Linked DNA regions of Tamandua tetradactyla. The protein of the gene in region 2 interacts with the protein of the main gene of each other region in a pairwise test. Links are inferred from orthologs where the notes say so. Each region holds a gene or a part of one and is shown on either strand. Other genes may lie near its edges. The genes, in order: PRPF40A, HNRNPUL1 and DZIP3.

Region 1 (7,684 bases), on a different chromosome or scaffold from region 2:
ACAGATGGCATAAAATTATTCATGATAACCGAATCTGTTACCTCTCTTGGTAGTTTCTCTAGGAACTCAGGTCTATCAAAGTCACTGAGTCAGCATTAAAACCTTCTGATCCAAATCATTCCCACAAATGTCAATTTACACTTATGCTAGAGATGGAAGGGACAGCTCATAAGCAGGAGTGCAGAAGCAATCAGCATTAAAAAAAAATAGTTTAAGTGCAAAGTGAACTAGCTACATGGCACTGTACTTTAAGAAACAAAAGTATGGAGCAGAAATCTCAAATCCCTGCCCCCCCCACATACATACATACATACACACACACACACACACACACACACACACACACACACACACACACACACACACACACACACACACACACACACACGATAGTCTGAGGAATAAAATATAAAACTCATTCTAAGCCAAAGGCCTAAACAACTCCTATTTTCAGATTCGATAAGGTCCACCAATATAAGTTACACTGGCATAACAGATATTAGAAAATTTACTCTCAGAACATTAACTTCAATCGATGTGCTTGAAAAAAGGTTATTGAACTAAAAAGCACAGATGTACATTATTACTTTCACATTAAATTAAAAGAAAAACTCTTAGTTCTGTTAAGGCAAAAACTTTTTTATGCAGAAGACATATTGCTGATACATTCAAAATTTGGTTACCGTCATGACCCAACATTTGGCTTACCTAAAAACAATATTTTGGCATAAACTAATTCTTAGTCAGCTACAAATAACCGCCCAGACTTCAAAATCTTGACACAATAATACCAGAAGGCAAATAAATAAATATAAAACAGAAATACAATAACATGCTTACTTGTCCCATTGGTGGCCCTCCCATAGGAGGCATCATTTGTGGCATCATTCCATGAGGTACAGGAGGCATATTGGCTCTCTGACCCATAGGGTGCATTCCCATGGGGGCATAATGCATACCAGGGTGTCCCATCTGAAAAACAGTGAAAATTTTAAAACTACGAGTAATAATAAATGTTCCTCAAAAACTCAACATATCAGTTACCTGTACTACCACAGTATTAGGCTATTGTGTGAGGAAGTGATCAAGTTAGCATATATCTTCTTATCTCAAAACAAAATTTAAAAAAATACTCGAATATTTTTAAACTTGCAAGTGACCAAATTTCAGAACAAAGTGGGAAAAGTTAAAATAATTGGACAGCCAGATTAATCTTTTTTAAAAACTACATTAATTTAACCAGGTACTGATTGGCTTGCTGTAAATTAGAGAAAATGTAACCTAAAACCACAACTTTATTATTTTTCCCAGATACAAAAGATAGTCAGATATTGTAATAACGTTACTTATTCTTGATTTTGTTTCCAAACCAACTTTAAACTTTAAAATCCTGAATATACCACATTAACTCGGATGAGCCCTAGTCCCAAAAAACAAACAGCGTGGGTTTACAGGGACACATCGCTACTAACGAATGAATACAGTATTCCTCAACAGAACCTTTAAGACAATTAAAATTACTTCTGCCCCTCAAAACAAATTTTTTTCAAAGATCTAAGTCCTGTCATTCATAGATGCTAAACGCAAGCAACTAATTCATCCGCTTTAACGCGCTTTTAAAGAGACAACTATTTTTTTTTTTACCTTTATGTCCATTGTTCCGGGTCTTAAAATCTGGTAACCGTTCCCTGCCAACTCTCCTAGTTGTCCCCCCTGCAGACACCACCATCACTAGTGAAAACAAATTTTGGCAGTCTCTTTTAAAATCTACAAAACCAAGTCTCCGCCTCCCCCTTCTCTGTAAAATCGGGCCTATCTCTCCAAGATGCTCACCCCGCCCAGGGCTCAGCACCTCCACCGCGTCACTGCCTAGGCCAAGCCCCCTAGGAACTTCCAGGGTCCCACATCCTTCTCTTTGTGCATCCCTGCCCTCCATTTCTCTCCTTCAAAACATATCCCACCATCTCGAGCTCTTCCTTCGTCCACTCTTATCTTCTTCTCCTGCCGGGGAAAGCTTCCTGTCTCTCTGACTCCGTTTTTCATTGTGCCGCTTTCCCCCAGCCCCACCGATCCCTTACCGAGGGCCGTCTCCTCAGGAAGCCGTCAGCAGAGACCCAAGAGCTGGAGCAGAGGCTTGAGTCGGGCAATCTCCGCTCCCCATTCCCGGGACCCCGCGACGGAGGATGGCTCTCCATTTCACTCACCATGAGGCCTCCACGTTCGGCTCCTGTCCCCGGCCTCATCGTCGGGCTCAGACTGTTCCGCCGGCGGCCACTGCCGCTACATATACCAACAAGAAGCGATCTGAGTGGCTGACGCCCGCTGGGGCTAAAGGTTAAAGGCTGCCCTGTGCTGAGGGGCGGGATCAGCGGGGCCAATAAGCTGACAGGCTTCCCTGCTGTCCAATCAGAGTGCGTCGCCGGCAGGCAGCTCTGCAGCGACTGGCCCCTAGCTTCAGCCTCACTCGGCGTCGCCTGCATGGGTGGGGGGGGGGGAAGGGGGATGGAGGAAGTTTCTGCGCCGAGTCCTCTGCTGGGACAACTCCGCCAACTTCCCCGGGGAAGAGAAGACAAATGTGTCCCAGCTTCCTGAGCTTAGACTGCCTCACCCTGTAGGGAGAGGGGCTGTAGGGGTCTGCCGTCTTCAAACCCCCCACCCGAGTTACGTATGCCCCACAAACCATAGGCTGCCCCTGGTAGGGTAGGGTGGGGTAACCTCCTAGCGTTAGCTGTGGCTGGGTCAGGGGTGCGCGCGCGCGGTGCTCGAGGCCAAGGGGAGGGGAGCGGAACGCGGGAGGAGGGGTCCTGAATGAAAGGGTTCGAACTCCGTACGCACCAGCTGAAGAGCGCGCAGAGTAGGAAGAAGACATGCCCAGCAGCGTGGAGGGAAGTTGTGGTCTGGGCGGGGAGAAAATAAGGATGCGAAAAGGAAATGGGCAGTTACGACAAAGGGAGATTGCATGCAGTGACCTGCCGTTACGCAGGATAGCCAATGAAGAGAGGGAGCGCAGAGGGAAAGGGGCAAGCGAATTGGCTTGGAAATATGTATCGGAGGGGCATAGTCGGGCGCTAGGACCGGGCTCGGGAAGGTGCGACATTGGAGCTGTCGGGGCGCGCACTTGCCTGGAGATGACGCGAGGGTGGCGGAGGTCTCCGGCTGGGACGAAGCGCTGCTAGGGGAAGGGACTCAGCTACCTTTGCTCTCGGCTCGCTTCTCCTTGCTTGTTTCTCAGCTCCCTGTCTTACCTGCCGGCACTCGAGTTCAGCTCTGGTCCGGAGACGCTTAGTCTCTCATCCGGCCCTGCGGCTCTCTCTCCGCCCTGCAGCGGCCTGGTTACGCACCCCTCCACTCGGGCGCCGGGTGGTGGAGGCCGCCGCTGGTCCCAGGCGCTGATTGGCTACTGCGTTCGTGCGGTCTAGGAGGGTGGGAGCCGCTTGGCCTCCGCGGGCGTCTCAGTGTTTCCCGCCATGTCGTTCGTGGAGAGCCGGAGCCTCTCGGTTTCGCGGCGCGGTCGCCTCGGGACCCCAGTCACGTTTCCAGGGCCTACGTATTCCGTATTCTCTCAGGGGAAGAGTTGGGGTGAGGGCGAGGTCGAAGAGGAAGACGGATGCGATCAAGTAGCCCGCAATCTGCGGGCGGAGTTTTCTGTTGGGGCGTCGTCCGAGCCGAGGAAGGGCTCGCTCTTCCCGCCGGACGGGGATGGGTCTCCGTTACTGCCTGATAAGCGCAATGGCATCTTTCCGGTGGTCGCCAGCGGCCAAGCCGGGGCTCAGCGGTGGCCGATCCAGATCCTCTCTATGCTGTGTTCGCTGCTGTTTGCTGCCCTCCTTGCTTTTCTTCTTGCCATCGTCTACCTGATCGTAAAAGGTACTGAAGCCCGTACCTTGAAAGTCTGTTCAGAATAGTAGTTAATCCAGGGCGTGTATTGCCTCCGTTGTCCCCCCACCCCTGAAAAGCAGACACGCTAGCAGCCCTTTCACCTAGTGCCAGCATCTACACCTTTTTTTTTTGCTCTTACTCCTCTGTCATTCTTTTTCCAAGGTGGAGGGCCTGAGCTATGATTAGGCACCCATTTTAAGAAAGTGTCATTTGGTAAGCGGGTGCTCTTGAAGAAATAAAATCACTTGGGATGAAAGTGTCAAAATAATATTGTCAGAACAACTATCATTAACAGGAAACCGTGAAAAGTGCATGTAATTAAAATAGGCTACATAGGTTCAAAGGCTTTGATCCATAAAACGGTTAAAGATAATATGCTGTTCGCCGATTCCTCCGGTAGTATCAGAATTTCTGGAGAACAAGGATTACTTTCCCTCAGCCCAAATGTATACGTTTATAGGTGAAATCGTTAGCCTCTCAGATTTGTATTAGTTTGCATTTGACCAAGTAAAATTCTGTAGGAGCCATAGGTTTCTTCCTCTTACTATCAGTTTTATTTTTCTGTGTCTGAAGGTGAAATATTGGGCAGATTAGAATAAAAATAGATGTGCTCTGAAAAGTTTTGCAGAAGCTTATATGGATTTAATATATAGCTAGGTACTGCATATTACAATGAAAAATATATACCTGAGTTTTAATCTTAGTTCTCACTAGTAAGTGTGGCCTTGGCCAAGTCATTGAAAAAGAAAATAAAACACTACGTTAGTTTTGGTTTGCTGTAGAGAAAACACCCAGCACGTTATCATTCGAGTTTTAGTTTCCCTTCACTAACTCAGATTTAACTCCAGTTTTGTTTTTTTTTTTCTCATTGCTTTCCCACTCCTAATGGGCTGCAGATGGCATCTAACAGCTTACAATGCTTGATTTTCATATAAGACAGATTGGCAAGTTATTGAGTGTGTTTTACTTTTCCATGAAATGGTATTGGGTGAAAACTGCCAATGTTAAATATTTGGCTGCTAGTATTTTATTTATCACTTCCAACCCACTTTTTATTTTATTTTTACTGTAACTTTGAGAGCTAGTTTAGTCTTACAAGTACTTTCTCTTTTGCTCTGAACGATTGTCCTTGAATTATAAAGTTATAAAGCCATAATAAGTTAGTAAGTGGAAGTCAATTGCAGAAGATATTGAGCTCTGCTTAAATTTTGGAGGATGGGGAAAGCAACTGAACTCAAGACCTAGTATGTTTCGTAATGTGCATTTCACAAAATGTCTTCACAACTAACCTTATGAAGTAAACATCATCCACATTTTATACATGGTATTTAACCTATAGAGCTCATATTTGCTTGCCGGAGGGTATTTAGTTAGTAAGTAGAATCAGAATTGAGCTGGTACTTGGACTCCATAGTACTCTCAACAACTCCACCATGTTTTCCTAGCGTTTGAATTACTCTTCAAATTATGAAGTAATCTTACTTTTCTACCTAAGCCCCTCTTTGTATTTACAGAGTTACATGCTGGAAATTTGAAGAATGAAGATGGTATAGACGCAGGGTTATTAGGTACGTACTTATTTGGCACTTGACTGAATTTGACTAACTTTTGTTTAAACTATAAAATATTGGATAAAATGCTTTATATAGTCCCATGTGCAGTTGATTTCATTTACATGTATGTAAGTTTATATTAAATTTCCTTTGTATACACACAGATAGTGTCCGTTATAAAATTATGGTAATAGATTTTGACCGGAACTGTATTTGTCCCAGATCCAGAGAATACTTAATGTTGCCTAATGGAAGAGGCTTCAACATGTCCCAGGAATAAAAAAAAAAAAAAAAAAAAAGAAAGTTATGACAGATTTAAGCAGAGATCAAGAAATAATTTAAATTCAAATATTTTTATATGCAACTTATTTTTTCTTTTAAATGTGTGAAGCATTGAGTGCACTTGCACAAAGAGAAAGACCTGACTTCTATAGAGTGTCCATAGAGTACTATAGTTTACAAGGTGTCCAGTGAAAAAGTCAAGGGTTTTTTATCCTGTATTTGATTCTCTCCACCAAAATGAATTTGAGGAGTTCAGAACTTCACTTGTCTAGTATATTTTAAACCAGTTTGCCATAATTTATTTGATCACTCTCAATTGAAAAAAGTTTAGACTATCCCTCATATCCACCGTAAACCCATCTTAGCTGAACTGTTTAAGCAACCTTTTCTAAGCTAATGTCATCACCATAATACAAAGTATAGCCTACCTGGTTTTGCAGAAGGGGAAACCTATACTTTCTTAAAATTATAAGCAGTTTAATTTGCTGGATATCCTATCGAATTTTTGTCTATAAACTCTTCTCAACTTCTTGCATGAGAGGATATTCAATTTTAGTTACTAATTTTACCAGTCTTAGTTGTTAAACTGTTTTCTCTCCCCAAAACAGCCTGAAATAGGAGGCGTTTATTGGTCTGCCACCTTTTGATGCAGTAGGTTACAATGTAACCTACTATGAACTAGGCATGAATTGTAACCTACTATTTTATAAAAGTTGGCATGATTTCACATTTATGAAAAAAATGGTGGCAGTAATCTTCTGAAAAAATATCCTGGTTAATAGTAAAAGATATAAAATAGACTTTGTCACTGTCCTGCTTCTTTTTCTGCTACCAGTTATTTAAGCCTGGTTTTGCTTTTGCGTATGCTTTGATAGATACATAATACTATAGTAGCAAAGAAGATCTTTATCTAAGACTTTGCTAATGACATGAGTTTACTTTAAATATTCAGAAACACATAAACTTAGAGAATTTCATTGGTAACAGAGACCATCAGGAGGTAGAAATAGGATAAGATATTGGGTATTTGGAGCTGAAGGGATACAGAGTGTGCAAAAGGACCGAATGTAGAAACTCAGAAATGGACAGCACAATACTACCTAATGGTAATACAATTATGTTAAAACAATGAATGAAGTTGAATGTGAGATTGATAGAGGGAGGAAGGCTGGGGGCACAAAGGAAATCAGAAAGAAAGATAGACGATAAAGACTGAGATGTTATAATCAAGGAATGCCTAGAGTGTATAATGATAGTGACTGTACAAATTTAAAAAGTGTTTTTGCATGAGGAAGAACAAAGGAATGTCATTATGGCAGGGTGCTGAAAATAGATGGTAATTAACATTTTAAAATTTTACCTTATGTGTGAGACTAAAGCAAAAAATGTTTATTTACTAGTTAAAATTTATATTTTGACTCATGCGTTTCCTAATATAACTTATGTAGACAGCTTAATTGAACGCCATAAGTACATGGAACCTTGAGTAGGACATGAGATTTTGTTGGGTTGTCCAGAGTGTTGCCCCAATAAATCCCAGAGTGATTTGAACAGTGAATAAAAAAGTATTTGCAAAGTCCCCTTCAGGGAATAATGAGAAAGGGGGAAAATTCAACTTTCCCAAGCTGAATTCTTGATATTCTCACAAGCAGTGTGGACAACCAAAGCTATAGGCTGAGCCCCCAATGTTGGGGTTTGTTCATATGAAACTTAACCCCACAAAGAATAGGTCAAGCCTACTTAAAATTAGGCCTAAGAGTCACCCCCAAGAGAACCTCTTTTGTTGCTCAGATGTGGCCTCTCTCTCCAGCCAATACAACAAGCAAACTCACCACCCTTCTCCTCTACATGGGACATGACTCCCAAGGGTGTGGACCTTCCTGGCAACGTGGGACAGAAATCCTAGAATGAGCTGACACTCAGCATCAAGGAATTGAGAAAATCCCTAGAATGAGCTGAGACTCAGCATC
Region 2 (7,166 bases):
GGAGCATGGAAAGAACAATAATATGAACTATTCCTGGAGTGTGTATTATATAGACCCTGAGATATGGTTGAGAATAAGCTGAGCTGAACCCCTGCCCAGCAGAAGCCTTCAGGTTAGCATACATTAAACAAATACTCACAAAAAAAGTTATGATTGTGTTAAGGACTACAAAGGAAGGATACATAGGCAATAACTGAGTGATGAGAATGGAGGAGACCACTCCTGGGATTGGCATAACATATCAGAAATCTCAGAATTGGGACTGAAACCAGAGTACCAAACCAGAAACTCCCACAAGGAGGAGAACTTACAGGCAAACCCAGAGAGAACTTGAGAAACCTCTGCTGAGCAGGGCCCAGCCTCTCCACCCCAGGGGGCAGCTCTCTGCTGGGTGTCTCCAGGGCCCTGCTAGTGGCTGTGCCAGAGCATTAAGGCAGAAACACAGGGAAGGAGAGATAACTCTGCCACCCGCTAACCAACTGGTTTCCTTCTCAGAGGACAAATACATCTGGGCAAAACCAGGTGCAACCCAAAGGGAGGATAGCTGCAAGTCACATGGTTTGTTATAGGTCTGTTTACAAGGCTGAATGAAGGATTGGGGGGTGGACACGAAAATGGTTAATAAGATTTTGTTATGGGGGGCAGGGGAGAGAGGAAAAAATAGAATATTTCCTAAATGAAACACAGGGGGCCCTTTCAAACCATTCTGCCTCTTCCATGCTCTAAGTACAGTGCTCGTCTCCCCACATGCCCTATATCCCTCTTCCCAAGCACCCTTCCTGTGCTCACAGAAGCAGCATCGCGTCGGGAAGTTTTGACTCCAGGGTCCTTCTCCACTCTCTAAAATATCCCCCTGCTAATTACTAGGCAGGCCCAGTGCTAAGCCCCCCACATATATGATCTAATTCATTACAAGCCTGAGGGGGCCTATCATCATCTCTATTTTATAGGGCTCAGAGAGACGAATGACTTGCCCAAATTACAGAATCAGACATGAAAGGAAGTCTGTGTGTGTCTAGAATTTGTGCAGTGAAGTACTGAACTCTTCCTCTCTGAGACACCTCTGGCTGGACCTCTAGATCAAAACTGTCCCACATTACCCTCCTTCTAGGTATCCTTGCCAAGGTCCCTCCTGCCCTAGACATGCACACCAGGCCACTTCTCCTTCCCTTCCCTTTGCAATGGGAAGTCCTCTTCTCTGCACCTGGGTCCTGGATAATCCTAGCACCCTCCTCGACCCTAAGTCTATACTCAGGTTCCCCACTCCTCTCCATTAGCTCCCATCCCTCATTAACCAATGTTAACCTGAAATTTTGTCTCTTCTGTGATCAGGTTTCTATATTTCCTTAGTCCCAAGCCCCAGTATACCCTCTTTTCAAAGAAACCAAACTCTGGACACCAGAGTCCCACCCACTTATTTTTTTGGTCTCTAAATTTCCAACCCCCACTCCTGCTAAAAATTCACCCTTTTCTAACTCCAAATTCACTCCTTCCCATACCAGGGTCTCCTCTGCTCAGAAGCCCTTGCCCTACCTAAGTCCCTCTTATGCCCTCAAATCCTGAGGTCACCCCCCCGCCCCACGGCACACAGATAACTGCTTTCAGGAATCCAGGTGCCCCCTTCTCAAAGACAGGTCTTTGGCCCCCAAAACACTGCCCCCACTCTATTGTGAATCCCCAGTCAAACCAAACAGTTTTCCTTCTGCACATCCAACAAGCTCCCTTCACCCCTTTTCCCTATACTGGATACAAGGATCCTCTGTCCCCAAGTACTCCAGTTACTTCAAACTCCAACAACCTGTTATCTGTCCCCACCCTGAGGTATCTACCCTTAGTTGTTTCAGCCTTAGGCCCCCAGGTCTCTTGTTCAGAGAACTTTGGACGCCAAGGTTCCCTAAGCCTCCCTTAGCAGCAAATCTGAAGGTCCTCCTACCCACACCAAATGCCCAAGTTGCTCCTGCCTCAAGGTTGGCCTTCCAGCCCTGGATCTCAGAGACCCTCCAAGCCATCCTCAAGAGGATGCTGACCACCTCCAGGCCCAATGGACCCTCCATCTCTACAAACCATCCCAGCACCCCATGTAGCTGCAAACTTCAATCCTCAAACTCTCCCAATGCCGAAGAGCTGGTTATTCCTTCTCCAACCTTGGAAACACACGGCCTCCAATTCCCACACCCACACGCTAGGCTAGCAAAGTCCCCAAGACCATCCAGCTCTAAACTCTGGGACCATCCTTTCCGAGACCTTTCAGTCTCTTCTATTTCCGGCTTCCGAGCCCTGGGCTCCGAAATCTTTTACCCCCGATCTTCATCTCCGAAACGAAGAGTCGCCAATTCCAACATCTCCCCTGCGCCGAATGCCAGGATCCACCCTCCGGCCCTCCCGAGGCCCTTGTCCCCACATCCTTTTCAGCGGCGGGTCTCAGGATCCCTAGCCCCTAAGACCGCCTCCTTAGCCCCAGGCACCAGACTCCCGCGTCCCTCAGCCCTTTCTCGGCCCGGACTCCTCGGCCCCGGCCCCCGCCCCGCGCACTCTCACAATGTCCATCCGGCCCCGAGTAGCCGCCAGGCTCCGGGTGCGGCTGCAGCCCGGGCGGCGGTGGCTGCGCGGTTCCCTCCAGCTCGGAGCCCCCCTCGGTCTCGACCTCCTCGTTGTTGTGCCCGGGTCGCCCCGGTTCGTCGTCGGTCTCGAGCTCCCGCTCGTCGTCGGGCTCCTCGGCCTCCAATGCCGCCTGCAGCCGCTCAGCTAGCTCGGCCTTGAGGCCGCGAGTGTCCAGGCCGCGGCGCTGCAGCTCCTCGCGAAGTTCGTTCACCTTCAGACGGCGCACATCCATGGCCCGGGCCCCCGGGGCGGCCCCCGAGCCCGGCCCGGCCTCCCAGGGCTCTGTCCCCCTTAAACCTTTCCTGTCAGGAGGCGAAGGGGGAAGAAGGGGGGGGCACTCCAATGGCGGCGGCGGCGGCTCAAAATGGCCGCCGCCGCCACCTCCCCCTCCCCGTGGCCCCGTGTGATGCAACACGCATGCCAATTGGCCAGATCACGGGGCAACGGGCGCGGGTCCGGAAACTCAGCCAATTAGATCGCGGCTTTCAAAACAATGGAAACGAGAAGATCTAGGAACTACCGGGAAGGAAGCGTTGGCCTACGTCGCTGCCGCGGCCGGAGCGGAGGGCGGGAAAAGGCGGAAGGCGGAGCGCGCGCTGATTGGGTGGCGCCCGCGCGCCCGCTACCGTAGAATCAAATGAAGGAAAGGGAGTAAAGATTTGGACCAGTCAGCAATGAGGTCTCAGAATGAGCGCCACCAAACCCTTTCCTGCGCAGTTCTTTCATCAACCTAGTATCTCTGTAACACACATCCTGATTGGTGTAGATCTCCCGCCCCTTGAGGTGGCCAAGCGGTAAAACCACTACAACCAATCTTCTGGTGGCTTTAAGAACCGGAAGGAGATTTATTAACGAAGGACCCGCCTCTTGCCGTTAGGGCGGTTTCAAAACAGTCTGTCGGTCAATCGCAATTACTGTTTTATCTCGTAAAGCCAAGATAGCTGGATGCTTTAGGAAAAGCTAACCAGATTGGCCGTTTTTCAGAGGACGGCCTCAAAAGTTTCGCTGTAGAGGGAGGTATACGGAATAGAGATGAAGTAGATCATTTTTTTCTTAACCTGGAAGAAACTCACTTGCCTTTATGAAAACAACACTTGACTTCGGAGAGCCCTTGAAGATTCGAAAATAGAGGCCAGACTAACAAGGGGAGAAAAGTTGTAAAGGAAGCTGCACCCCCTCCCCTTCGATGGTGCAGCTCTCAAGGCCCTCGTCGAGCGTAGCTCTGCGGCCTCTTCTCTATGGTTGGTACCTTAAGTGGAATGGGCTCTCGCAGGAGGCCCCGCCCCCGAAAGAATTCCAGAAGCTGTTTTTGTTTGTTCTTACCCCAGATCTGTTTGGCGGCGGTACTGACAAGCTCAATATACGGATACGAAGTTAAGCTTCACACTGATAAATACAAACGCCACAGAGTTTCACAATGACTGCCTCGCACCCGGAATCCTGCACTACCTGTCGTCTCTAACTCGAAAGACGAAACTTCAGTAAAATCCACAAGCGAGATACACAATACACCCACCCTCTGTCCAGTGAGCCATATCTTAAGCCCACAAAAGCCACACAACAGCCTCAACGTAAATGAATGCACGGCACGGATGTACAAATCGATGAGACTGAGATTAGATGCAATAATTCCGGGCATAATACACCAATTCAGGATGCATCAGATAGCCGCGTATACGCGTCAGCTAAGGTCCGCACGGACACGCGGCATCAAAAGACACACAGGACAGTTACATTGCAAGCTTCCAGCAATCTAGACACACAGCACCCACTCAGAAACGAGGCAGACACTCACGTGGGCCCGGAGGTTCCAGTCCAGACACCCCGCCCCTCGCCCACGTCCGACTTCCTCTTTCCTCCCAGCTTCCCACAATGATTTGTTCTAAAAAGTTTGTGGCCCGGATTGAACTGTTCCCGGTCCTCAGGAGCCGCCACCGGGGGGCGTCCGGGCGCTGCCAAGGGTTCCTCCATCAGATGTGGGACACACCCAGGAACGGATGCCCGCCAATGCCTGCAAGACAGTGGGCTTGTCTTGGCAGAGGTCCCCTTGGTGGCCGGTGATTATGGCAAGCGTTCTGTACCTGTGTCTCTGTGTGAATTTGTACGTTTGCGCCTGTACCTGTTGTACTTTTATATGTCTCTGAGTACTTGTGTCACTGTTTTAGGATCTCTGTTACTCTGATCTTCCTATTCCTTGTATCTGCCTGTGTGTATGTTTGTAAAGATGTTTGTTTCTGTGTAACTTCGTTTATCTCTTTCAGTGCCTTTGTATTTGTGAACCATCACACCTATGTCCATTGATTCATGTGCCTGTGACTTTGGGGGTCTTTATGTGACCCCAGGTGTATCTATGTGCCTATTCCTAACTCAGAGTTTCTCAGTCTGGGTTTCTTTGCTTGTGTGTCTTTTTGTCTCTGTGTATTTTCTACCCTCTGAGTAGCTCTATAGTGACATGACAACTCTGAGGCCCTACCACCTCCTTTTTATTGATGGGGAAATTGAGTTGGCAGGGAGAGGGGCCACACCACAGCTGATTGGAGGGAGACAAGAAGAGACAGAAGTTTTATGTGAACTGAGCCTCTCCAGAGGCACCAGAGTCCACACTCTGTACATGGGGGATGAAGGACTGGCTCAAGGGGGCAGCATGACCCAAAATGGGGGAGATTGTCTCCTGGGGGGGGGGAGGAGGCATCCCTAATGCATTGCAAAGCTTGAGGGCAGCAGCACACCTCCACTCAAGGGTAGAAGGAAACAGAGGTGGCTAAGAAAGGGAGGGGCACATAGAAGAATATTATAAGGTTCCAACCTTGGAATCATACTAATATTCTGGACCTGTGGAATTTTAGAATCTTTGAAACTTAGAGCATTTGAGTCTTAGAACTACAGTGCCTGGAATCTTAATATTTTAGAAATGTGTACTCTTGGGCTCTTAGGAACTAAAATCCTAGAAAGACGGAATGTAGCATAGAACCTAGAGGTGTCCAACATTAGAAATGATTAGAATGTTGGTGTCTAGAATCTTAGAAATTTACAACTAACGGTGATAGTCTTCGAACTTTAGATGCTTAGGATCCATATCTTAGACCAATAGCATCTACAGTGCCTTGGAATATAGAAACAACGTCATCTTATTAGAGTTTAATAATCTAGAATCTCAGAGTATATGATCTAGAATCTTAGACACAGAGAATCTAGGTTCATTGAGTGTTCGAACATCTCATCTCGGAACATTAGACCTTAGAACCTCTGTGTTTAGACTTAGAATTTTTGAAATGCAGATTCTAGAAACTTAGACTCTTAGGATCCAGGTTCTTATAACAAAAGAATCTAGGATCATAAAGCCTTGGAACCTAGAATTGACTGTCATGAGAATCTCAGATCTTAAGAGTAGAAAACTTGAAGCCTTATAATCCAGAGTCTTATAAAGCCTTAGATGCTAGAACTAGAATCTTAGAGCTTTGTAACCTAAAATCTTGGACCCTTATCAAGAATCGTAGAACCAGAAAATCTAGATTCATAGAATCTCAGAGCTTTAGTACATTAGGCCTTAGAACCTCCACGTCTAGAACCTTAGAACTTTATCAGTGGAGACCTTGAAATAGCTCCTTAGAACCAAAGACTCATAGCATCTTTGAAACTCAGAACCTTAAACTCTAGACTCTTTAGATCCTAGAATCTAGAATTTCGAAATGTCAAACTGGGAGGACCCTTCAGGACTGAAGCTAACTCCCTTCCTTTTACAGATGAGGACGCTAAGGCCTGGAGAAGAGGGAGGGTCTGTTTGGGATGTTTGGAGGTGGGTGGGAAAGGAGGGCTGCACGTGAAGGAAAGGCCTGGGATGGGAAAGTAACGTGGGGCATTCCCCCCAGTGGCAGTGCCTAGCTTGGGTCCTGAGAGGGAGTCACAGATGGAGGGTTGACTTAGGCTCCATCCTCCTGCCCTGGCGGTGCAGGGGAGCCCCTGTTGGCAGGCAGGGTGGGGCCGGGAGCTGTGGAAGGGCAGAGCACGTAGCGTCCGGCAGGGTGGATCTCAGCGGCAGTGAGGCAGCTGCAGGCATCCTTAGGGTCAGGTTGGATGGGGGGGTCAGCTCCTCCAGCAGCTCCAAGGGGCTCGGAATGACCCCCACCCTCATCCATGTTGACATAGAGGATTTCGTCAGGTTCCTGGGCTGGGGGCAGGGCCTTCAGTGTATTCTCCAGGTCCTCCCGTAGTTCTGCAAAACTTGGCCGGTCCCTGGGGTTTAGCTCCCAGCAACGGAACATCAGGGCGTACCTAAGGTGACAGAGTGATGAGTGGGAGGATGAGCGGGGGCTTGGAAGGGAGCATTCTGGGAGTCTGGGGCACCTTAGGACACTAAGGGGACTGGGGACATCTCTTGTGGGCTGCAGGGAACCTCAGCAGTTTGGAAGCATCTGTGGGGATTGAGAATTCCCAAGAGTTTCTAAGCGGGTTCCTGGAAGATTTGGGAGCTAGGCGGGTCTTGTGCTCTGGGCGTGGGGTGGTGTTCTAATGGGGGCTTGTCAGAACAGAGCTTCCCACTGTGGTTCCCCAGAACAGACTCAGGC
Region 3 (7,523 bases), on a different chromosome or scaffold from region 2:
CAATGAGACAAATTGCTCACTACCACCATGATTATGTCACATTTAAGAGATTATGACAATGTAATAAATTACTGGAAAAGAAGAGATGAAATCATTATTTACTGATACGTCTAGAAAATCTAAGATAGTAAGCAAAACTCTAATAAAATTAATGAGATTTTGGTTTGATTCCCGGAGGCTGCCCATGCCTAAATAAATAAATAAATAAATAAATGATATTTTAGGTAGGTGGATGAAAGATTTACTAAAAATCAGTATCTTTAAGAATAGCAATAAAAATGAGAAATTTATGAGAAAAAAAGAACCCAGTCAGTAACAAAAAGCATGTAATAGGAATACACTAAGAATGACAAAATATTATATGACAAAGAATACAAAATTTCATTGCACACAAAATACACCATGAACACTTGCTATTAACTACCTCAGCAAACTACATCTCTAAAACTCCCAACCTAGAAATTCAGAAATTCTTTCAGACTCACTGTCTCATTTCTCACATCCACAATTAGTCAGCAAGTCCTGCCTATTCTACTTTATATATATATATTTTTCAAATTTGTCACCTCTTCACTCTGTCCACTTCCATTATACTAGTTATCCTTTAGACACAGTCCAGCAAATTATACAGTCTCCCTATTTCAAGTCTCATCCTCTTCAAAATCATACCCCATCCATCAGCCAGTTATCAGGTAAAATACAAACCTTACTAGGTCAAGCCCTAGTCTAAAGCAAAGATCACCACTTAATTCAGGATGGAATCCAAGCTCTAGCCTAACATCACCTTTAGTTAACTGAATCTAGCTTCATAGCCTCCTCCTCCTCTACACTATTTTGACCTTAAAAGTGTGGCTCTGTGTTTCTTAAATTAGGATACGCAAGTATCTCTAGCTAAAGATGTCTTCTACTAACTTACAACATCAATTTTTGGTGTGGATTTTTAGAGGAAGACATTTTATATCAAAATAACTACTCTATGGAGAAAACTGCAAAATTTGTATGGCCGCTTAAAATGAAAGATTTCTAATTAAGAAAGCATTAAAAAATCTATGAATTGTGTGGTGTGTGAATTATATCTCAATAAAGCTATTAAAAAAAAAAGAAAGCATTACAGCAGGCAGTTTTTACGCTCTCCCCAAACCCAGCATATGGGTCATTATATACTTGCCAGTATAGTGAAAAAGCCTATTTTTTTCAAATTTATACCACTGCTAAATTCTTATCACTACATTTGCAAATGACCATCCAATGATGGCCATATTCACCAAGAACCCACTTAAGCCAGGTAAATGTTCTCTTTACATTGATTAACTAATATTATAATGGTCTCTATCTCCAACTACTCTTACCCTTGCTCTCTCCACTCCAGCCATGGTGGCCTCCTTGCTGTCCCTGACAACACATTGCCATGCCCATTTCGAGGCCTTTGCCCTTATCACTCTATCTTTGCTCTTATTATTTCCTATATGCCCAACATCTGGATACCTTTTCTCCTAAATTGCAGGGCTCTTTCTTAACTCCTTGAAGTATTTCCTCAAATACTGCTTTCTCAATAAGACCTATCCTGATGACCCCATTTAAAATTATAACTATCCACACAACCACCACCATTACTCCAGAGTAATACCTCTGCTCTGTTTTTTTTTTCTCTAAATTATCTTCTTTAACTGTTTATCGTCTTTCTACCAGAGTGTAAGTTCAATGGCAGCAGAATTTGTTTCATTCACTGACGCTTGCATCTTTGAACATTAAAGGGTCTCAAAAATGTTGAACAACCCTATGAAACAGGTATTACTATTAGTTAGACTTTATTCACCTTACCTAGAGACTGAAATACAATGAGAATTTGCCTTTGGTCAAATAGTAAAAGGTAGAGTTAGGATTTGTACCACACAGCCTGCCTCCACCATTTACCATCACTGTATGGTCTCTCATTTGCATAATGAATTCCCATATGTACTTTCTATTTAGTTCATTTCCCTTATTACACAGCAGTGAAGAAATTATCTTTGTATCTTGACTGGCAATGCCTAGCCCCATGTTATACATTTAATAATTGTTTACTGAATGAATGAATGTTATGTATACATTCCTTAACCAAAGACTTTTACGTGAATGTCTCATTGGCCAAATCATTTGAGGCTTTCAGATTTAATAGCAAAAATTATATTTTTAATATCGAAATAAGTCTTGCCTTTAAAAATGTAGTGATATAAAAAATACGTTCTTTGAATTGAGAAAACATGATTTCTGATTAATGAGTTAACTAAATGGTCATGCACTCTATGCTTACAATTTATCATTAGTTGGTTTTTTAAAGCTTTATTCGACATTAACACAAATTAAGACTCCAAAACCATCTACTCACTCACTTCATAACATATTCTTGCATACACTAATTATCCGATTTAAAAAATACAAAGTGTCATCTTTCCAAACACCGAGATTTATAAAACAATCACACCAGACAAAAACTGACACCTTCATTTACAAAAACAAACTCTAACGAAACCACCCGGAAGAGCAATACACTATCTACTGACACCCGAGTCGCCCGGAGGCAGTGTTTTCGAATCATTTTGACAAGACTACCGTAAAGGCACGAATATCTCGACACAAAATCTAAACGTTTACTCTGAAAAACATTACTAGGTAGAAGGGATAAACGTATAAGAGATTTAAAATGATGAACCTCCCAAACCGCCTCAAAGTCTAGTGCCCAAAGATCTTCCACCTCAGATTTCCTCACCGTGTCTAGACTAGGGCAAAGCCACCATTTCCCAAGTAGAAGATGATGTACAAAAGAAAAACCGGCCATCCAGAGTGAAGGCCGAAGAAGCAAACGAAAACAAAAGCAAAGCAAACAGGTGAACAGCCAGCCCCAGACGCCACAGAAGCCCCTGACGCCCCTACATCGGTTAGCCACAATCGCGTAACTCGCGAGATTTTTCGTATTCACGGGATCATGAAGCCGAAACCCCGCGGGCTCAGAGAAAAGAGGGGATTTGGAGGGACCGGGCCTTAACGCCTCCCCCACAAACCCACCGAGTGCGTGGGCACTCCGAACCACCCCTCTACTCTTCAACGAGATCCAGCCCCCCCAGCGTGCCTAGGAACTTCCGGGGGCTGACCGGAACCGGAAGCTCGGGGGAGCGAGGGGGTGGGGCCGAAAAATCAAAAAAGCGCGGCGAAAGTTGGAGACCAGAGCAGACAAGGTGGTGGAAATCTTCAGGTGGGCCCGTGATCGGTCCCGATGGACTCCACCGCCTGCTTGAAGTCCTTGCTCCTCATCATCAGTCAGTACAAAGCCGTTAAGTCTGAGGCGAACGCCACCCAGCTTTTGCGGCACTTGGAGGTGAGGGATCTAATAATCCTTAGTCCATGGGCGGTGGGGTGTGGCGGCCCTATCCCTGGAAGGCCTCTCGCTCCCTGGGCTGTTTGTTAAGGTAAAAGCGAGGGAGTGTCAGCTTTGAATTCTCACTCTCCACCCCGCCCCTAGTTCCTCCACGGTTAGCTGTCCGCAGCGATCAGGTTGAGCGCCGAAAGAAGGCTCTGGGAAAGGGGAGAGTGGAATAAAAGGTTAGGGAATTTAGGCTGTGTTTCTGGTAGATTAGAGGAGAAAGCTCGGACTTGTATTTTCTCTTCTTTTGCTTCTTGTTCTGGTTTTGCCATCGAAATAGAGCCCTCGCAGAATATGCAGTGAACTTGTACTTGAAAAATACTATTTCAACTTTCTTTGGCCTAAGAAGCAATCCCTTTCTCCAATTCTAGTAATCGTAATCATGTTTCTTTACAAAAATATATTGCTCACAGTTTTTAAATCCTAAAATGCTGAATTGTATTCACTTTTTCTTAGTTCCCAGTGATTTGTGTTTAGATTATTATTGTTATAACTTTTCTTTGGAAAAAATTATAATCGCACATAATTCCCTGTGACCCTTATTATTTTGAGACTCTTGTTATCAATTGTTAACGCATTTGTGGAATTCAAATGTTAATCTGTTAAATAAAAAGTAGGGTGCACAGGTGGTTTAGTGGTAGAATGCGCGCCTTCGATGCGGGAGACCCGGGTTCGATTCTTGGACCATGCACCTAAAAAAAAAAAAAAGTTAAGCTCACTCATTCAAGGCATATTTTAAGAATTCTCTCTTTGTAGAATTCCTCTGCTAACATAGAATTGAACGTAATTTAAAAATCTATTCTACTTGGTTTATTACCCCTCTAATGAAGGTCTGATGTACCAAGGATTGGCAGAATACTGCAAAGAGAAGATGATTGTGAATGGTATAACAGCACCAACTTTTGGTGAAACTATAGTATTATAAATGTGTCTTTGTTCTCCTGAGCTTCAGTGGGGCTCCTCTTCGAACTATTGGAGATACCCACATCCTAAGTAGGTTTGTTTTTGTTTTTGTTTTTGTTTTTGTTTTCATCCATTATCACAATAAGTCCCAGCAAACATAACAGTTAAGTTTCAAACTAGGATAGAGCAGTGTGCTGGTGGCAGTCCAGAAGCCGCAAAATAAACATGGCCATCAGCTTTATTTAAGAATTAAACATTAAGTATTTTATTTTAGTTAGCAGTCTGAAACATTGCTTCTCTCAGAGAATAGAGGTATATTTTGATTCTCAGTGCAATTTTAGCATGAATTGAAGGAGATTTCAAAGCAATTTGTGGCTTAAAAACTGACTTCTTGAAAGATTCACAGAAAACTGTTCTGGCATTGGGGTATTTTGTTGCAAGGGTGTGATGAGTACTAGCTTGAAGCGACTACTCTTAAGAACTTTTTTTTTTCAATTGAGAGATGACATACATACAGTAAAATACATCAAGTACATTAATCTTAAGTGAGGCACTTGATGGTTTTTATTACATTTGTACACTCATAGAGCCATCATCTGTATCAAGATATAGAACCTGTCCAGCCCCTATAAAGTGTTTCATTATCCCTTTCCATAAGGTTCATATAAGTGGACTCAGAAAATTTGTACTCTTTCATGTTTGGCTTCTTTCACTCAAAAAAACACAAAAATCTGAAGTTCATTCATGTTGCAACATATAAAAGTACTTCATTCTTTTTTATTGCTGTATGGAATTCCATTGTGTAAATATATAGCAGTTTGTTATGAATGAACAAACTCATTTCTTTAATATGCTGAGGAGTGGAATTGTTAGGTGGTAGGGTAAGCTTATGTTCAGCTTTAGTTGAAACTGCTAAAAACTGCTCAACAGTTTCCCCAAAGGTTATACCATTTTACCCTCCACACTGCAGTATATGAGATTTGCAGTCTCTCATCCACTCCTCCACAACAGCCCCTGAATTAAAACAGTCAGTTTTTTTATTTTCCCATTTTTAGTGGGTGATCATTTGTATTTTTAATGGTACGTTGTCCGTGTCTCCTCGCTCAACGTCGGGCCCCCGGCCGGCGGAGGGTACGACAAGAAAAGGGGGAGAGAGAAAGAGACGCAGACAAACCGGTCCTGGCGGTAGAAAACGAGTCCAGAATACGCAGCAGTTGTAAGTACAAATCTTTACTGGGTCTAAGCTTGCATTATCTATAACTTTCCCCGACCGGGTGAATACATCCCGCGGGGGAGCGACCTCTGTGCGGCCGTCAGGCACGGCTCCTTGTGGGTCGTCTCCCCCGCCTCGTCCGGGCAATACCTTATATACATAATTCAAGCCCAATAGGTTGTTGCCGCGTCTAAGAGGGTGATTGGTAGATCGGGTTGGTGGGCGTGTGTGTCATACGCGGAAGCAGGATGTGGGCGCCATCTTGGCTCACTCGATGGGCGGGGGGAGCTTTAGAGCAGGCTGCAGCGCGTCCACTAGGCCTGACCCGGGTGGCGGCTCTCCACATCTCCCCCTTTTTTACTTATTTTGACCCGGTGTCTCCATTGATGAGTGAGCTCCCGTGGGCCGGAACGGCCCACTACATGTTTTGGTGCTTTGGGGAGTCTGGACTAGGCTTGCTAGGCACCAACCAGAATGCCTCCTCATATAGAGACCGGAGGGCCCGTGAACCGGAAACCACGTGACCCTCCCTGCAGTGCTTCGCCTCGCAACCGGGTTATGAGGGGGGCAGGAGAGCGGCAACCAGAGTCGAGAGTGTCGTAGGTGTCTCTGTGCAATGGCTTAAGTCTAGTCTGGCCAGGACCGCGACTTTGCCTAGAGACTCTCTTTCGACCAAAATTATGACTTCTGGTGCCGCCACTTATACCTGGGATACAGCCATGGGCTTTGCGGCAGACCTTACTTTCGAGCGTCCCGCCTTGAGTGGCCGTGACGGGCCACGCAGTGGGGGGGAGGACAGGGCTACGGTGCGGGGGTCGCCAGGGGCATCAGGGGCAAGTGACATAGCCAACATAGTGGTGACGCGTAGCTGTTGCTGCGTCTGGAACAAGCGTTCTAACAAACAATCAACAATGAGCAGAGTTACTAAGAGTCCCACTGCTAAAAGAATCCAAGTGGTCAACCTGGGCCAAGAGAACCATGAGGTGACTTAGTCCCACAGTAGCTCGTAGTGGGAAAAGTGGGGTTAAAGCTAGTTTCTCTTCTACTCGGTCGGAGGGTCACTTGCACTGTTGTTGTCATCTTTTCGGTCGTCGCCATCATCAGTAGGGCTGGAGACCGGGCCTGATGGTTCAGGTCGAAAGCTTGCTGACTTGTCGGGCAGCAGTTTCTCGGCGCCCCCGGGCGGTGTCACGGTTCTCACCAGTCTCTCCGGAATCCACACCGGCTGGCGTCCTGGTTCCTGGGGAAAGACACAAACAGAGCCTCTGGCCCAGCTGAGCACCGGGTCAGGGCCTTGCCACAGTCCTGACAGGACATCTTTCCATCGGACCAAACCTCTATGTGATGGGTTTGGAGTGGTATGCTGGAGGGCAGGTGTCATTCCTTGTGAGTTTTCATTTAAGAAATTATATGTAAACAAGGCTACTGACAGTTGGGCTTTTGGGGATAGGCCGTGGCCCATTCCTTCCTTTTGTTTTTTAAGCAATTCTTTGAGAGATCTGTGTGCTCTCTCTATGATACCTTGCCCTTGGGGATTGTAAGGGATACCATGCTTTAACTGCACTTCTATAGTTTCACAAAATTTTTGAAAGGTTTTACTGGTATAAGCAGGTCCGTTATCTGTTTTCAATATTTTTGGCTTGCCCCATGCCGCCCAGGCGGCAAGGCAGTGAGCAATAACTTGATGGACCTTTTCTCCTGTTTCAGCGGAGGCAAACATAACTTGAGAGCATGTGTCTATTGACACATGTAGATATTTGGCCTTACCATACTCTGAATGGTGAGTGACATCCATTTGCCAGATGTCTCCCGGAATGAGGCCTCTAGGGTTGACTCCGATTGAAGGAAGCACTCTTGACTCTGTGCAATTTTGGCAGGCTCTGACTATGTCTCTAGCAGCTGCGCGCGGTATGTTGAATCGCTTGGCTAGAGTGCCTGCATTGATGTGAAACTTAGCGTGAAACTCTTGAGCTTGCTGATGGGGTGTCAGCGCTGGGAAAATGTGTG

Evidence for each region.
Region 1: the proteins of HNRNPUL1 (region 2) and PRPF40A interact in a two-hybrid assay, tested with the Homo sapiens proteins (2 studies listed by BioGRID and IntAct). The link is inferred for Tamandua tetradactyla from reciprocal best matches to the Homo sapiens genes HNRNPUL1 and PRPF40A.
Region 3: the proteins of HNRNPUL1 (region 2) and DZIP3 interact in binary tests that used the Homo sapiens proteins (3 or more experiments, as listed by UniProt). The link is inferred for Tamandua tetradactyla from reciprocal best matches to the Homo sapiens genes HNRNPUL1 and DZIP3.

Annotation. Positions count from the first base shown.
Region 1 is NC_135329.1:123,080,704-123,088,387, forward strand, and holds the start of PRPF40A (pre-mRNA-processing factor 40 homolog A), read right to left. Parts: upstream 3,004-7,684; 5' UTR 2,962-3,003; coding exon 2,836-2,961; exon of another isoform or gene 2,496-2,835; intron 2,475-2,495; coding exon 2,079-2,474; intron 973-2,078; coding exon 841-972; intron 1-840. Other genes in the region: ARL6IP6 (ADP-ribosylation factor-like protein 6-interacting protein 6), read left to right, coding at 3,468-3,867, 5,394-5,447.
Region 2 is NC_135342.1:22,510,439-22,517,604, forward strand, and holds the start of HNRNPUL1 (heterogeneous nuclear ribonucleoprotein U-like protein 1), read right to left. Parts: upstream 3,067-7,166; 5' UTR 2,834-3,066; coding exon 2,539-2,833; intron 1-2,538. Other genes in the region: AXL (tyrosine-protein kinase receptor UFO), read right to left, coding at 6,522-6,873.
Region 3 is NC_135336.1:38,447,289-38,454,811, forward strand, and holds the start of DZIP3 (E3 ubiquitin-protein ligase DZIP3), read right to left. Parts: upstream 3,040-7,523; 5' UTR 2,750-3,039; intron 1-2,749. Other genes in the region: protein CIP2A, read left to right, coding at 3,254-3,355. UniProt on the Homo sapiens protein: E3 Ubiquitin ligase proteins mediate ubiquitination and subsequent proteasomal degradation of target proteins.